Linked DNA regions of Mus musculus: region 1 is reported to be linked to region 2. The links are microRNA targets in miRTarBase. Many come from high-throughput screens and were not tested one by one. Region 2 holds a microRNA gene; the other region holds the end of a gene's coding sequence.
The links. The annotated mature microRNA mmu-miR-3074-5p reads GUUCCUGCUGAACUGAGCCAGU and lies in region 2 at 2,775-2,796, opposite strand. An mRNA with a match to its seed (bases 2 to 7 or 8) in the 3' UTR can be bound and repressed. Matches are read on the target gene's strand: a 7mer-m8 pairs with bases 2 to 8, a 7mer-A1 pairs with bases 2 to 7 and ends in A, and an 8mer does both.

Region 1 (3,536 bases), not on the chromosome of region 2:
AGTACCTGGAGTCGTCCCTGGACATCCTGCAGACGAGGTTTGCCCGACTCCTGGCTGAGTACAGTGCCTCCCAGATGAAGCTGAAACAGCGGCTCACTCGGCTGGAGAGCCAGATGAACAGGAGGTGTTGTGGCTTCTCACCTGACAGGGAGAATTCCGAGGATGCTTCAAAGACTGACTGAAAATGCAGGTGGCTCTGCCTCCTGCTCCCCCCCCCCCCCCCCGGGGCCAGCTCTCTGGGCGACACTATATAGCCTCGGGGTAAAGGGTTTGGCTGTGGTTTCGCCTCAGTGCTACTCATCCTTTGGGAGTGGTGTGACAGCAAGGAAGAGCCTTAGTTTCCTCTCCTATGAAATGGGACTCATGGCTGTCGGCCCCAGAAGTTCCAGACTATCATGAGGTGGCGAAGGTTGTGGCTTTGGAAAGCGTGAAGAGTTCCCAACCCAGTGTATAAGCATATGTGCACATGATTCTAATGTTGTTAGTTATGTTGGCATATGGGTATGTTCAGTTGTCGGCGGAGGTCAGGAGAGGGCGTTGCATCCCCTGGGCTGGAGTTACCTGCTGTTGTAAGCTACCCAGCATGGGTGCTGGGATCCTGTCTTCATTAGGGTTACTATTGCTGTGATGAAATATCATAACCAATGCAAGTTAGGAAGAAAAGGTTTTTTTTTCGGCTTACACTCCACATCATAGTCCATCATTGAAGGAAGTCAGGGCAGGAACTCAAACTGGGCAGGAAGCTGGAGGCAGGAGCTGATGCAGAGGCCATAAAGGGGAGCTGCTTACTGGTTTGCTCTTCTTAGCTTGCTAAGCCTGCTTTCTTATAGAACCCAGAACCACCAGCCCGGGAGTAGTCCTACTTGCAATGGGCTAGGCCCTCCTTCATCTATCATTAGTTAAGGAAATGCTCCACGGACTTGCCTACAGCTGGATCTTAGGGAGGCATTTTCTCAGTCATCCTCTCAGATGACTCTAACTTGTGTCAAGTTGACATAAAAATCCGACCAGCACAAATCCAAACGTGTAGTCCTTCCCATATTTATTGAGGTGAAGGTCCTGCTCTGTTACCCAGTCCAGCCTTCAACTCCCATGCCCAAGTGTTGTCCCCTCGCCAGCCTTCCAAGTAGCTGGGACCACAGGCACACTCCACTGTTTCCAACCCAGATAAGTTTTGTTTTGTTTTGTTTTGTTTTGTTTTGTTTTGTTTTAATGAAATCCATGGGAATGTTTAAGCCCCTTATCCTAGCTATGTTATAAATGGATGTCTTACGGGGCTGGTGAGATAACTCAGTGGTTAAGAGCACTAGCTGCTCTTCCAGAGGTCATGAGTTCAATTCCCAGCAACCACAAGGTGGCTCACAACCATCTATAGGGGGATCTGATGCCCTCTTCGGGCAGGTGGATATATGTGCAAAAGAGCACTCATACATTAAATAATAAATACAATTAAAGATATATATAAATGGATATTTAGTCTCCTTCCTTATTCCCACGTCATCACCATCTGATTGTGAAGACACAAAGAGGATGTAAGTCAGTGCTCCCCAGTGTGCCAGTGGCTCTGGGTTCAATCCAAACAACAACAACAACAACAAAAACATCCAGCAAAACCACAAAACACAGCAGGAAGCAGCTATAAACACAAACTTATAACTTAAGTTCAACTTTATACAGGACAGTTTGGGCACGTTTCTGAGCCTGGCATTTTCCCATATGGGTGCATCCTGGGCCCCTGAAAATGTTGACTTTGTAGTATCACAGCATTGTAAAATGGAGATCCCTTCAAGTCAGGGAAACTAATCTAGATTCCCTGCTATCCAGCCACTGTGACATCTGGCCACTTGATGGGACAGCATGTCTCATCTCTTCTCATTTCTCAGTGGATTCAAAGACAGCCTCCCTCCTTAGAGTAAGAACTTCTGGCTGCCAATGATACAGAAATCGGGGAACTCCTAGAAACCGGCAAGCCCTGGGTTTGGGCAGTCTCTGAAAAGGGCATCGCATGGTGAGATTTCTCCGAGGAATCTAAAGTGGATGCCAGCCCCACCTGTCACTACAAGAGTAGCCTGGTTCTGCTGGAGTCACCTGTTACCACCCATTCTAGCTCTAAGTAGAGAACCATGTGTAAGTAGAGACTGTTAGGTGGAAAGCTGGGGTAGTGGTCCAAGTTTTAAGAGCAGACAACTAAGGCTGGAGAGATGACTCAGTGGTTAAGAGCACTGGCTGCTCTTCCAGAGGGGCTGGGGTTGATTCTCAGCACCCTAATGGTGGCTAACAACCATCTGTAACTCCAGTTCCTGGGTATCCAGTGCCCTCATCTGGCTTCCTTAGGCCCTAGATACACACATCATACACAGACATCCATGCAGGCAAAACATCCATGCACATAAAATACATATTTTTTAAAGCTGAAAAGTGAAACTTAAAAGCTGAGTCTCATGGCTAATGGCCTTGTAACCTGCACCTTTACCCTGAAAAAGCTTCAAGCCCCCAATGGAACTGCATCCTCAGGCTCTTAGCTAGCTGAAAGCTTGCATATTGCAAGAACTTTTTTTTTTTTTTAAGCTAGCAACCAGAACTCCATTCACATTTTTGCCCTTGGGTTCTGAGACTGTGAACAAGGACTTAGGTGTTCCATCCTTCACTTAAATGCAGGCTGGAAGTTCTTCTTCCTTCCCATCTTTGCTCCTTTTTCTCTTTCCTTCCTTCTCTCTTCCTCCTCCGTCTCCTCCTTTCTTTCTACGAAACAAATTTCTCCCAACCCTTTCCTGGACAATATTGAAGTCTCAATGGGTAGATGCCATAATCTATAATTGAATCCTAATGTACTTCATACAAAAAAAAAAAACAACCTCTATGTTCAATTATGCAGTTGGGTCTCTTCTTGTGGGTCACATGACCATTTCTTGTGGGGGCATCTGATGCTTAATGCTTTTAAATGGTTAGAAGGTCCAGGTCTATTAAAGAGCATAGATTCAATTTCATATGACCAGCAGAATGTAATCTGCAGTGCTATGTATTCTCTAACATTGAATATTTATGACAATGAATACATTTTAATAGCCTTAGCTATCAATTATGCCTGCACCTATATTTATATGGGAAAGATAAAGACCTGGATTAAAATGTGCTAATGTCTCCTGCTTCAGCTCTTGTCTTAAGGGAAGATTCAGCCCCAGGGTGCATTCCTCAAACAATGGCTTCCCTAGAAAGATCAGGCAATGATGAACTGGGGATGTATGCTTCTGGGAAGACACGTACACAGTCAGAAGCAGAAGAGACAATGTCCTGGGTACACAGAGACATGAGCCAATGCTTACTGTGACCTTGATCCTAAAAGCAACAAAGAGGAGCTATCAGAATGCAAGGGCAAAGGACAAATATATGACCTACAATATGTTCTACCAGAGAGCATGTATCAGAGGGAGTGACTACATGGACAGACAGATCAGCAGAAATAGACGTGGACATTATTCAGGATGGTAAGTGCATAAAGGAGCTGTCTACCCCAGCCCTGGAGTTACACAAAGAAA
Region 2 (4,168 bases):
TGCAATGTCAAGTGTAGTTTCTCAGGATTGTGTGTGTCTGATGTCCTAAAAGGTGGGAGACATAGAATCTCCTGTAACTGGAGTTACAGATGGTTGTGAGCCACTGTGTAGGTGCAGGGAACTCAACCCAGGTCCTCTGAAAGAGCAACAAATGCTCTTAACCACTGAGCCATCTCTCTAGCTCCAACCTTGTTTTCTCAGAGAAGGTGTCTTACTGGGACATGGAGCTGGTGAGGCGGGCTGGTGGTGAGCCCTAGAGCATCTTGTGGCTTCCCTTCCCCAGCTCTGGAATTACAAGTGTGAATTGCCATACCTGGGGACAACACAAGCCCTTTTGCTTACATGGTGACCACTTTATTGATTGACCTATCACTGAAGACCCTGATGTTTTTTTTTTTTTTTTTAAGATTTATTTATTTATTATATGTAAGTACACTGTAGCTGTCTTCAGACACTCCAGAAGAGGGAGTCAGATCTCGTTACAGATGGTTTTGAGCCACCATGTGGTTGCTGGGATTTGAACTCCGGACCTTCGGAAGAGCAGTCGGGTGCTCTTACCAACTGAGCCATCTCACCAGCCCGACCCTGATGTTTTATAAAGAAGACGTGTGTGTGTGTGTGTGTGTGTGTGTGTGTGTGTGTGTGTGTGTGTTGTCTGGTCTTTGTGCATGACAGTGCAGTACACTCAGAGACCAGAAGAGGGAGTGAAATCCCCAGAAGCTGGAGTTACAGGTAGTTGTGACAGGTGCTGAGATCCAAACTCGGGCCCTCTGCAAGAGCAGTAGCCACTCTTAACCACTGAGTCAGCTCTTTATCTGAAACAAGGTCACTTGTGTCACTATGTAGCCCTGGATGGTCTGAAACTCCCTACACAGACCAAGCTGGCCTTGAACTCTTAGAGATAGTACTGTCCAAGGCCTGGTTCTTGCTTTCCTTTGCCTTTCAAGTGCTGGGACTAACAGTGTGCACCACCATTCTTAAGTTTATTTTTATTGTCTGTTTGTGAATGTTTGCTTACGCGTACGTCTGTGCACCATATGTATGCCTGGTACCCACAGGGGCCAGTGGGGAGCGTTGGAGCTCTTGGGAATGGAGCTATAGATAGCTGTGCTTGTCATGTAGGTTCTGGGAAAGAAACCTGTCATCTCTCCAACATTGAAATTCTTTAAACAATTTTTAAAAATTGTGTGTGTGTGTTCCCAAGTGCAGAGATCAGAGGACAACTTGCAAGGGTCCGTATGCTTTTCTTCTTCGTGGTTCTTGGGTTTGAGCTCAGGGCATTGGGCTCCATAGCAGCTCTGCTCACTTGCTGGATCAGCTTGCTGGCCCCTGAAAACTTTAACTGGCACGCAGGACACTACTCTACATTGGGTAGGCCCCAAATTTTGTGGCTTGCCCTGGTACTGGGTGCTAAATACCTTCTCTGTAAGTTTTCACTGGCCTTCCTAGTAGAAGGTTTGGGGTTTTGTTGTTTTATTTTTGTTTTTCTTCTATTTAAGACTAGGGTCTCAAACTGTAGCCCAGTTAGGCCTAAAACTCATCATGTAGCTTAAGCAGGCTTTTGACTCCATTCTTGGCAACCTTCCTGCCTCAGTTTCCTCAATGCTGAGATAAACGTGAGCCACCAACTGCAACTGTTGTAGTCTGCTTTACAGATGGGGAAACTGAGGCTTGGAAGGCCTAGGGGAAACTTTACTGAGGTGTTATTGTTGGGGTGCATCGGCCTGCTTCTCCTTGCTTGGGCCCTAGGTGGTGTGGGGTGGGGGTGGGGTTATGTCTGAGCTGGCTGGGGAGGAGAGGGCTGAGGTGGGAGGCCCTGGAGTTTCCTCCTGCCCTTCAGGCTTCTAGGAAGTGGCGCCAGCTGGGGTGAGGTCACTTCCTCCCTCCAACCGTCCACCTCCCTCAGCTTCCTCTCCATGGCCCCATTTGGCCTGCTTTGGGCTCAGGGCTGTGGGTGGGGATAGAAGCAGAGTGGGAAGCAGCTGGGAAGGCTCTGCAGCCCCTTTGGCCTTAGGGCTTCAGGCACCTCCCGCTTTGTAGGGCTGGGGTAGAGGCACTGCTGGGTGCCCAGCATCCAGCAGCCTCGCTCCAACCTTCCTACGGATCGATGCTCCTCTTTTTTGGGAATGCTTCTTCCCTCTTGGAAGTAGAGGAGGGCTAGGGTGTGGATCAGCAAGCTGAGTTTAGATTCTGTCCCCAGCACCACTTAAACTGTGTGTGGTGAGGTGTACCTATAATCCTAGACTCCAGAGGTAGAGGCAGGAAGAACTGGTGCATTCGGAAACCTTGTGTTCAGCTATGTGAGACCCAGCCTGGTCAAGATAGGCAGGCAAGCAAGAATGCTCCAATCTCACTGTCTCTTCTTTCTCTCTTTAGGTGCTACACTCCGCTCCCACCTGCTGCCCCCCTCACTGTGCCTCGGACGGCTGGGGTTCCTGGGGATGGGATTTGATGCCAGTCACAAATCACATTGCCAGGGATTTCCAACTGACCCTGTGCTCTGCCTTGGGGGCTCCTGTCGCCAAGGATGTCTGTCTTGGGTACTGGGTAACAGAGAAGCCTATCATGACAACTGGCCTGAGGAGCAGGGCTTAGCTGCTTGTGAGCAAGGTCCACAGCAAAGTCGTGTTCACAGTGGCTAAGTTCCGCCCCCTGGACCCCATCTCCTCAGGCCGCTGCTGCCCACCCTGCTCTGCCTCCTGGCTGGCAGGGCTCTGCCTCTCTCCGGGCTCCGCCTCCCGTGCCTACTGAGCTGAAACAGTTGATTCCAGTGCACTGGCTCAGTTCAGCAGGAACAGGAGTCCAGCCCCCTAGGAGCTGGCAACCCTGCAGAATGTCTGCCGTGAGCAAGACCTGGAAACAATGGGGTAATTAGTCCAACCTAAGCCCCGTTGTCTGCTGGAGGCTCAGCCTCTAAGCCTGCATCTGGGTGTCCACCTTGAGATTTCTGTGGTTCCCCAAAGCAGATAGATGGGCGGGTAACCCTTGCATTAAAAGCCAGTTATGTCCCCTCAGGGCCTGGAAGCCCTTCTTTTCCTAAGTCTGGTGGGGCTCAGGCACCACCCCTTATACATACCATCTTTGAAGTCAGTTACCCAAGAGGAAGCTGCTTTAGGCCCTCTAACGGTTAAATGCCAACTCTCTGCTTCCGGAAGAAGGCACTGACCTGATCCAGTGTGCCTAGCAATCCCATGGGGTCTGCAGCTTTCTGCTGGTGACAGCGAGGCAGGGAGCGAGGTCCACACAGGCCTCAGGATATGAACAGATCCATGCCCCCCCCCCCCATTGGCCTGTTGAAGTAATCTCCAGGCTTGGAAGTTAAAAAGTTGCCTACTACCCACAAATGAGACTGCATGCAGACTAATTGGAACTGGCTGAGTTACACTTCCCAGACCATACAGTGTCCTCTCCCTACTCTGGGCAGGGGCAAATCGAAGCCTGGGTGGAAGAACAGAGTTGAAAGCTTGTATTGAATGTTGTTCTCCAACTAAATAAAAGCTCCACAGCCTCATTCCGTAAGGGCTGACGTCTCTTCATTCCCGCCTCCCACATGTGTGTTGCTGGCTTTTTTCATTTCTCTTGAAACAGCATTTCTGTGTAGACCAGGCTGACCTTGAATCAAACTCCTCCAGTGTCTGGAGTTTGGGAATACCAGCTGCACCACTATATCTACCACACCCTGGGCTCCTAACCTGCATTGCACCTATCCCCAACCTTGCTCCACCTGCTTCTAGGAAGGTGTAAATATAGTTCTGTGGTCAGTAGGTGCTGCGACCTGAAGATCCTGGGATCCTTTGGGGATGGCTTGAACGGGAGGGATAACCCAGACCTGGGGTGTATGAGACCAATCTGTGGTCACCCCAGTTCCATGAGGGAGTATGTTACAAGAATGTACTCTGCCTATGCTGGGATGCACTGACTGGCAAGATGCCAGGGCTTAAGGACGGGCACATATGCGCGCACAGACAGACACGCGCGCATGCACACACACACACACACACACACACACAGGGCTTAAGGACGGGCACATATGCGAGCACAGACAGACACGCGCGCATGCACACACACACGCACGCGCGCGCGCCCGTCTACACACACACACACACACACACACACACACACACACACGCACGCACGCACGCACGCGCGCGCGCCCGTCTGCGCCAGA

Region 1: the mRNA of Cnga3 is a reported target of mmu-miR-3074-5p. Seed matches in the 3' UTR shown: 7mer-m8 at 719-725 and 7mer-m8 at 736-742.

Annotation. Positions count from the first base shown.
Region 1 is chr1:37,261,915-37,265,450 of GRCm38, forward strand. Cnga3 (cyclic nucleotide gated channel alpha 3) reads left to right here. Exons shown (of 6, transcript NM_009918.2): 6 at 1-1,470. The coding sequence ends at 182. Among named protein-coding and RNA genes, the nearest start is that of Inpp4a, 36 kb to the right of the region's middle.
Region 2 is chr8:84,206,099-84,210,266 of GRCm38, forward strand. Mir3074-2 (microRNA 3074-2) reads right to left here and starts at 2,809; the gene lies at 2,727-2,809. It overlaps Mir23a (microRNA 23a), which reads left to right and starts at 2,420; the gene lies at 2,420-2,494. Mir27a (microRNA 27a) reads left to right here and starts at 2,574; the gene lies at 2,574-2,660. It overlaps Mir24-2 (microRNA 24-2), which reads left to right and starts at 2,717; the gene lies at 2,717-2,823.